Macaca mulatta: one gene and its partner. The protein of the gene in region 1 binds, or shares a complex with, the protein of each later gene. Links are inferred from orthologs where the notes say so. Each region holds a gene or a part of one and is shown on either strand. Other genes may lie near its edges.

What was found. Proteins that work in one complex are often made in the same cells at the same time.
Region 2: the proteins of F2 (region 1) and THBD are in contact, whole or in part, in a crystal structure (PDB 1DX5), measured with the Homo sapiens proteins. The link is inferred for Macaca mulatta from reciprocal best matches to the Homo sapiens genes F2 and THBD. Residues at the interface, in NP_000497.1 of Homo sapiens: Phe382, Ser385, Pro386, Gln387, Leu423, Arg425, Thr432, Arg433, Tyr434, Arg436, Asn437, Glu439, Lys440, Ile441, Met443, Lys470; in NP_000352.1 of Homo sapiens: Ser424, Cys425, Glu426, Cys427, Tyr431, Ile432, Leu433, Asp434, Asp435, Thr440, Asp441, Ile442, Asp443, Glu446, Asn447, Gly449, Phe450, Asp479.

The regions. Positions count from the first base shown.
Region 1 is NC_133419.1:18,870,576-18,874,075, forward strand, and holds part of F2 (prothrombin precursor), read right to left. Parts: intron 3,269-3,500; coding exon 2,963-3,268; intron 2,641-2,962; coding exon 2,512-2,640; intron 2,429-2,511; coding exon 2,302-2,428; intron 1,162-2,301; coding exon 994-1,161; intron 495-993; coding exon 321-494; intron 1-320. UniProt on the Homo sapiens protein: Thrombin, which cleaves bonds after Arg and Lys, converts fibrinogen to fibrin and activates factors V, VII, VIII, XIII, and, in complex with thrombomodulin, protein C. Functions in blood homeostasis, inflammation and wound healing.
Region 2 is NC_133415.1:60,998,216-61,002,226, reverse strand, and holds the start of THBD (thrombomodulin precursor), read right to left. Parts: upstream 2,801-4,011; 5' UTR 2,750-2,800; coding exon 1,037-2,749; 3' UTR 1-1,036. UniProt on the Homo sapiens protein: Endothelial cell receptor that plays a critical role in regulating several physiological processes including hemostasis, coagulation, fibrinolysis, inflammation, and angiogenesis.

The sequences.
Region 1 (3,500 bases):
AATTAGCCTATAATCCCAGCTACTCAGGAGGCTGAGGCAGGAGAGTCGCTTGAACCTGGGAGGAGGGGTTGCAGTGAGCCCAGATCGCACGACTACACTCCAGCCTGGGAGACAAGAGTAGAACTCCGTCAATAAATTATTTATTATGTTTCTTTAACATAAATAAAAAATAAAACGCCAGTGCTGAAAAGAACTTTTGGGTTCACTCCAAGAAACTGAGGCCTGGAAAAGGGAAAGGGGCTCTGCAAGGCTGCCTGGTATCAGAGCCAGGCCCAGAACTCGGCTTCTGCCCCTCAGCTGATAAGCGTCTGGTTGCCCACCTGGCTGCCGTCTCCCTGTCGGGCAGGCACACCGGGTGGATGTAGTCGCTGAAGGTAATGGGCTTCTTCAGCTTCATCAGGGCAATGTCCCGGTCCAGGTTCTCCCGCCAGTTGTACCTGGGGTGGATGTAGATCTTTTCCAGCATGGATATCTTTTCAATGTTTCGCTCATACCTGCAGAGACCCCAAGAGAGAAATGGAGAAGCTGCAGGTTCACCCAGCAAGGGGCAGGAAACTGCCTGCCCTTGGGGTCTGGGAGACAGGGTGTCCTGCAGGCCACCAGGGAGGGGATAGGGCTGGCTCCTGCCGTGGCAGCCCCCTGGCCATTTCTTCCTGGGCCTAAAGCCGTGCAGGGCTTTGGAGTCAGACAGTCAGGAGGACAGGGACAAGGGCACAGGCTGCACACCCTGGTCCAGACAGACTCTCTTTTCGGAGACTCCCACATGGGCCATATCCTGGTGTTGGAGGGCCCAGGAGACAGACAGGTTTCCCCCCTCTAGCTCCAAGCCTCAGTCAGGACATGACCAAATGGACTTTCCAGCAGAGACTGCCGGGATGTCATATTCTGGGGGTATACAGAACATCCCATTGTCCCGGAGCCACCAGGGCCCGTCATGGTCGCTCTGGAGGACTCAGACCCCTGCCAGACACCCACAGGCCACCAGTTCTGTACCTGGTGCGGGAGTGCTTGCCAATGCGCACCAGAAGGTCATTCTCAGTGAAGTTCTTGTCCCAGGGCGGGTACAGGAGACAGTGGGCGGCGGTGAGGACCCAGCGGTCACTGATGAGGCTGGCCCCACACAGCAGCTCCTGGGGACTCTTCCGGAAAAGCATCACCTGCCTAGGAGGGGGAGCAGGAAGCATTAGGAGCTGAGGGTGAGGGGGCTGCCTGTACACCAGCCCTAGAAGTAACAAGTCCCAGGTCTAAGAACCCAGCGGGGCAGAGCTGCCTCCAGGGCCCAGATCCAAGCTTGGGCTGGCTGCCCTTGGGCCTTGAGCCTCCATGTGATGCTGAGGGGTTGCCTCACACTTTTTTTTTTTTTTTTTTTGAGACAGGGTTTCACTCTTGTCACCCAGGCTGGAGTGCAATGGTACAGTCACAGCTTACTGAAGCCTCAACCTCCTGGGCTCAAGCAATCCTCCCACCTCAGCCTCCTTAGTAGCTGGGACTACAGGGATATGCTGCTATACCTGGCTAATTTTTGCATTTTTAGTAGAGACAGGGTTTTACCATTTTGCCCAGACTGGCTTTGAACTCCTGACCTCAAGTGATCTTCCCTTCTTGGCCTCCCAAAGTGCTGGGATTACAGGGGTGAGCCACTGCACCTGACCTGCCTCCTGCTTTTTGTACTCCCTTACTAGGTCCTTCCAGTCCAGAGTTCACACAGCATAGCCCAGCTCTGGAATCAGAAGAACTGGATTCAAACCCATTAGCAGTGTGCGGAGGTGAGCCACCAGCTCTGTGAGCCTCAGCTTTACCATCTGCTTAGAAGTAAAGCACCCATGGGCCGGGTGCGGTGGCTCACGCCTGTAATCCCAACACTTTGGGAGGCTGAGGCAGGTGGATCACTTGAGGTCAGGAGTTCAAGACCAGCCTGGCCAACATGGTAAAATCCTGTTTCTACTTAAAATAACAAAAATTAGCTGGGTGTGGTGGCGCATGTCTGTAAATTCAGCTACTCAGGAGGCTGAGGCAAGAGAATCATTTGAACCTGGAAGGCAGAAGTTGCAGTGAGCCGAGATTGTGGCACTGCACTCCAGCCTAGGTGACAGAGCAAGACTCCACCTTAAAAAAAAAAAAAAAAAAAAAAAGGAAGGAAATAACCCATCTCATGTGGCTGCTGTGCAGGGTCGGTGGGATCCTGGATGCTCAGCTGTTGTCATCTATAAAGCCCGGGCCTGTGGGCAGGGCCGGAGGGTGGGGGGCCAGCAGCACACCTGCCCCCAGGAGTGAATGGTAGCACAGGGCTCCGGGACACACCAAGGTGACATGCCGATCTCTGCATCCCAGCCCTCCACAATGCGCCCGTCAATGTAGGATTCCAGGAGTTCTCCTTCAGTTTTGTCCTCCAGCGACTTCTTCTCAAACAGAGGTCGCAGCCCACAGTCTGCAGAGCAAGCCAAGCGGTGAGGGGCAAGTGCTGGCCACCAGCCCCACAGCCCCGCGTCCCTCAGATGCCCACTACCTCACCTGCTTCTCCCAAGCCGAAGGTCCTCGGATCGAAGAAAGTCTGGTACTCACTGGTGGCGGTACGCCCTTCGATGGCCCTGTCTGGGTCCTCACCCAGCCCATCTCCTGTTTCCTCATCCACGGCCTCCTCTGTTGGGACCCGGGCACCGGCTGGGACTCGGCCGGGCCATTCCTCACGCATCCCCTAGATCCCCCCAATTCCCCTGTGGGCCTTGGAGGCCGTTTGGTGCAGAGGTTAAGAGTGCATGCACAGTTGGGCTACTAGGCAATAACCTCCTGGGGCCTCAATGTACTTATCTATGAAATGGGCGCAGGACCTTACCCCTACCTGGTTACTGTAAGGCTGTTATGAGCACACTCAACGCGGTAAGTGTTCGGTAAGCAGAAGCAACTGTTGTTATTCCCACCAGGATTCGTCCCTGCATCTCAGGCCCCTACCCAGGCAGCTCACCACAATAGTTGAGGTCGCAGTACTCAAAGTCACCAGGCTTCCCGGCCACATAGCACCACACGCCCTCCTCATCCCCGTCTGGGTTGCGGCAGAAGTTCTCCACCAGCTGCACGGCCGAGTCGAAGTCCTGGTGCTTGCTCAGGGCCTTGGCCTGCGCGCTGGCCCAGGCTAGGCAGGGGAGCCCATGTGTGGTCACTGCCAGGTGCCCCTGGTACTGCCGCCCCCGATCAGGGACACACTCTTCCGATGGAAGTGACAGATTCACACTGGAGCGTGGAGTCATCGCTACAGTGACTTGATCCTGGCCTGGTGGGTGAGGGGTAAGGAGGCAGCAGAGTGAGTGAGACCACACATGGACCGGAACAGACAGGGATGTGAACCCCAGTCTTGCTGCTTTTTGCCTGTGTGACCTCAGGTTACTTAACCTCTCTGGGCTTCTGTCTGTCTGCCTTTAAAGGGGTTACTAATGCCACTCTTGCAGGCTTGTTGAGAGGATTAAACAAAATATACAGCGTAAGTGTCTGGCACATAATAAACC
Region 2 (4,011 bases), on another chromosome or scaffold:
GTGCTTATCTCTTCTCTCAATCTAGAGCAACCTTCTCAACATTTTCAACACTGTCAAAAACAAGTAATAACAACAAAAAAGGAAACTGCATAAGAAGATTAGCAACAATTACCATTTTTCAGTACAAATCAAAACAGCAACAAAATTCAGGCTCACTGTTTAAAAATAAAGATTAAAAACCTCTTTGGGTGTAATTTCTACGACAGTCCAGCAACATCAATTTAATACCTGTTACATCTCAACGTTTGTTTAAAATTATTTCGCTCTGGGAACCTGAAATTTCAGGATGAATTAGCAAATCTGGTGAAAAAGCAAATGGCCATTTTTACTTTTAGTGTTTTTGTTTCTGTTTCACATAGGCGTTCTGTCTGAGCAGATAGCTAAGAGCAAAAGAAGTAGGGTCAGGCACAGGTAGGGTGACTCAAGTGAGTTGGCCCAGTTCCTGGGCTGAGAAAACTAGGAAGAATGGGGAATAAATGGGGCTTGCTTCATAAATGTGAGAGGGCTAGGAAAAAAACAAATTCACCAAGATAGTTTAGCTGTCACATGACAAGTGGGAGTCTGGAGAGAGAGGGAGAGACCGCAGAGCCGTGCAAAGTGGATACTGGAGACATACAGGTAGGAACAAAGGATACAAACAAAAACCTAGATACTTAAAAAAATAAATAAATATTTTGGTCATCCCTAGCCCACGAGGTCAAGGTCTGCCCAAAAGGCTCTCGACCAATAACGCTCACCCTCCTGCGCCCAGTGATGAGGACCTGGGACACATCGCAGTCTGTGTCTTCGTTGCAAAATTGCCATCTCTGCCCAGTGGTCCAGTGACGTCAAGGAAGAGGCCGAGGCTCATTCTCCTCTCTCTAATCACTCCCTCCCCAGTTAGTCATGGAATCGAAGAAAACAGCTTGGGGGTGCGAGGAGGGTCTTCTCCAGCTGTAATGCCAACTAAGGTGCTTTGGGTAGCAAAGCTGGGGGTGAGGAGGCCCAGGAGGGAGAGAAAGGCCACGCCAAAGCCGGGCTCCTGGACGGAGGCCGCTCAGAGTCTCTGCGGCTTCCGCTCGGTCCGCACGGACTGCAGCACTACCTCCTTGGAAGGGGCCGCGCACTTGTACTCCATCTTGGCCCTGGCGGCGCCCTGCTTCTTGCGCAGGTGGCAGAGGAGCGCCAAAAGCGCCACCACCAGGCACAGGCTCGCGATGGAAATGCCTATGAGCACGCCCGAATGCACGCGCCCCACGGCCGGGGGACTCGAGGTGCAGCCGGGCGTCGGGCCTCGGGGGGGCTCCCCAGAGCCGTCGTCACCACCATCCACCTCGGCGGAGTCACAGTCTTTGCCAATCAGGCGGACACGGGCCGAGTCGGGCCCGCAGATGCACTCGAAGGTACCGGGGAGATTGAGGCACACCCCAGAGCAGTAGCCGCCGTTTTCACACTCGTCGATGTCCGAGCACATGAAACCGTCGTCCAGGATGTAGCCGTCAGGGCACTCACAGTTACCCCGGGTGTTGGGGTCGCAGTCGGCTGGACAGGCAGTCTGGTTGCAAAACATCTGACACCTGTGCGGCTCGTGGGGAATGGGCGCGAAGCCCTCCGCGCAGACGCAGAGGTAGCTTGTTTGGTTCAAGGGCTGGCACTGGTACTCGCAGTTGGCTTTGAAGCACGGGTCCACGGGCTCCACACACTCGCCGTCCACCAGGTCGTAGCCAGGTTTGCAGTGGCACTCGAAGCCACCCTGTTTGTTGACACAGCGCTGTGGGCACGGACTGGGCACCAGCAAGCAGTCATCCACGTCCTCGCACCGGTGTTGGTCGGCCGCCAGCCGGTAGCCCGTCTCGCACATGCACGAGTAGGAGTCCGGCTTGTCCGGGTTGGGAACGCAGAAGTGCTCACAGAGGTTGTTGCAGGAGTGCGTGCAGGAGCGGCCGTCTGCCTGCAGGGCGGCGCCGGCTGGGCACAGGCAGCGGGGAGCCCCTGCGATCGTATTGCACGCGTGCTCGCAGCCGCCGTTCTCCACGCTGCAGTCCCAAGCGCCCGGCGCCTCCCTAGCCCAGTGCCCCTGGACCGCTTTGGGCGGTGCGGCGCACATCAGCTCTAAGCCGAGGGGCGCCACCGCGGCGGAGCTGCCCACCGGCAGCGCCTGGAAGTCCGCTCCGCGGGCCGCAAACGGGGTGCGGTAGGTGATGGAGACGGCAGCAGTCGCGGCGCCGGGCTTCACAGCCAGGGGCCTGCAGGTAGCTGGGAAGTAGAACTCGCAGAGGAAGCCATCGGCCTTCACATCGCACTGCTGCTCCTCCCAGACCGGCTCGCCGGGCGCAGTGGCCCCAGCAGCGGAGACAGCGACGCACAACGGGCCGCAGGGGGGAGCCCCATTGAGGTCGAGCCGCGCCCACCTGCTGTAGCTGGTGTTGCTGTCTCGCGTAACCCACTCGAAACCGCGCAGGGGCCCGAGGGGCTTGGGGTCGCCGCAGCCGGGTGGCAGCTGAAGGCCGATCCAGAGGCGCCGGCTAACGCCGCGGTCGCCGCTCAGTAGCAAGGAAATGACATCGGCAGCCACTGAGGAGCGCACTGTCATTAGGTGGCCCCGCAGTCTATTGCAGATCTGACTGGCATCGAGGAAAGTCGCGGGGCCCGGGTAGAGCGCGAAGCAGTCGTGCTCCACGCACTGGCTGCCACCGGGCTGCGGTTCTACGGGTGCGGGGAACCCCGGGCCGGCCAGGGTCAGCACGCCAAGGAGCAGGACCCCGAGCATGTTACCCAGGCGCACAGCGTGCAGGCGCCGAGGAAAGCGCTGGCACTGAGACTGGGCCGTGCCGGAGCAGAGGAGCGCAGGACGCGGATGACGACAGCCGCTCCTGTCCATCAGCCCAGACACTTCTAGCCGCGGCGCGCAGCCCCTGCGAGGCAGCCTCTGACATGAGGATCGGCCGGGGCACGAGTTTATAAGTGCGCGGCCCTCCCTCCCTGGACGTTCGGGAAAAGGAAGGAAGTGCCTAGTGGGAAGGGCTGATGCCGCATACTCGGATTGCTGGGTTCTCTGGCCGCCCTGCGCCCGCCCTCGCGCATGGGATCACCTCGCGGGGATGAGTAAACTCTGCCCTGGCGCAGGGAAGTTCTCGGGCGGGGCCGGTAGGGGCAGGCGCCAGGGAAGGCCAGCACCCCTGTAGAGACACGACTGTCCCCGCCCCCACCACTCGGGCCCCCATGCGTGCAACCTCTTTCATCTCTTGGTTCTCCTTTCTTTCTTTTCATATATGTTACGGCCACTTCCAAGGAAAGCCTGGATTGCAGAGCTCTGGGAACCGGAGACTTCAGAGAAGAGGGCTTTGAATGGAGCGTGGGGGAGATGGTGCACAGGACCTGCAGGACGCTGGGAGGGGTGATCGGCACCAAGGGAACTTTGGCAGGAACTGCCTAGGACGTGGACTTCCCCAAAGACAGGATCGCAAGGAGAAACAGCTGGATCCCATCCCCGGCCTGGGTGCCTGGCTCAGGAAACCAGCGGAGCGTTTGGCCTCACAGGACAGTGGGTGTGGCTGGGGTGAAGGGGCAGGGCGGGGAAGACTGGCCTAACACCAGCGCCCTCTGCCCTATGGCTGGCCAGGGACCCGCAAGTCCCTGGGCACGCACGAGTCAACGCCAGACTCCATTTCGTCGGGTGGGGAAGCCGCGGGGACACCGTCAGGGCGCCGAGGTCCGGACCCCGCTCAGAGGCCGTGGCAGGTGGATTGCTGCGGCGCCGGGTAGGAGCAGGCGCGTGGGAGCAAGTCATCCTGGCCAGTTTCGGTCCAGCTTCCGAGGGACGTGCTTCTCTCACCTCAACAGAGTGGCTGGCAGTGCCCCCGGGGGAGGCGCTGCGGGATCCCAGCGGATCCCACCCGGGTCGGCTAAGGAGGTTTCCATTTCGTCCAGAGGCCGAATTGATACCGAGGTGCATAGAAATATCACTTGCTCGGCAAAGGGCACTGAAGAGCCACGGTCCTGTGGATGGGCAGGGTGGGGAGGGCTGGAGGA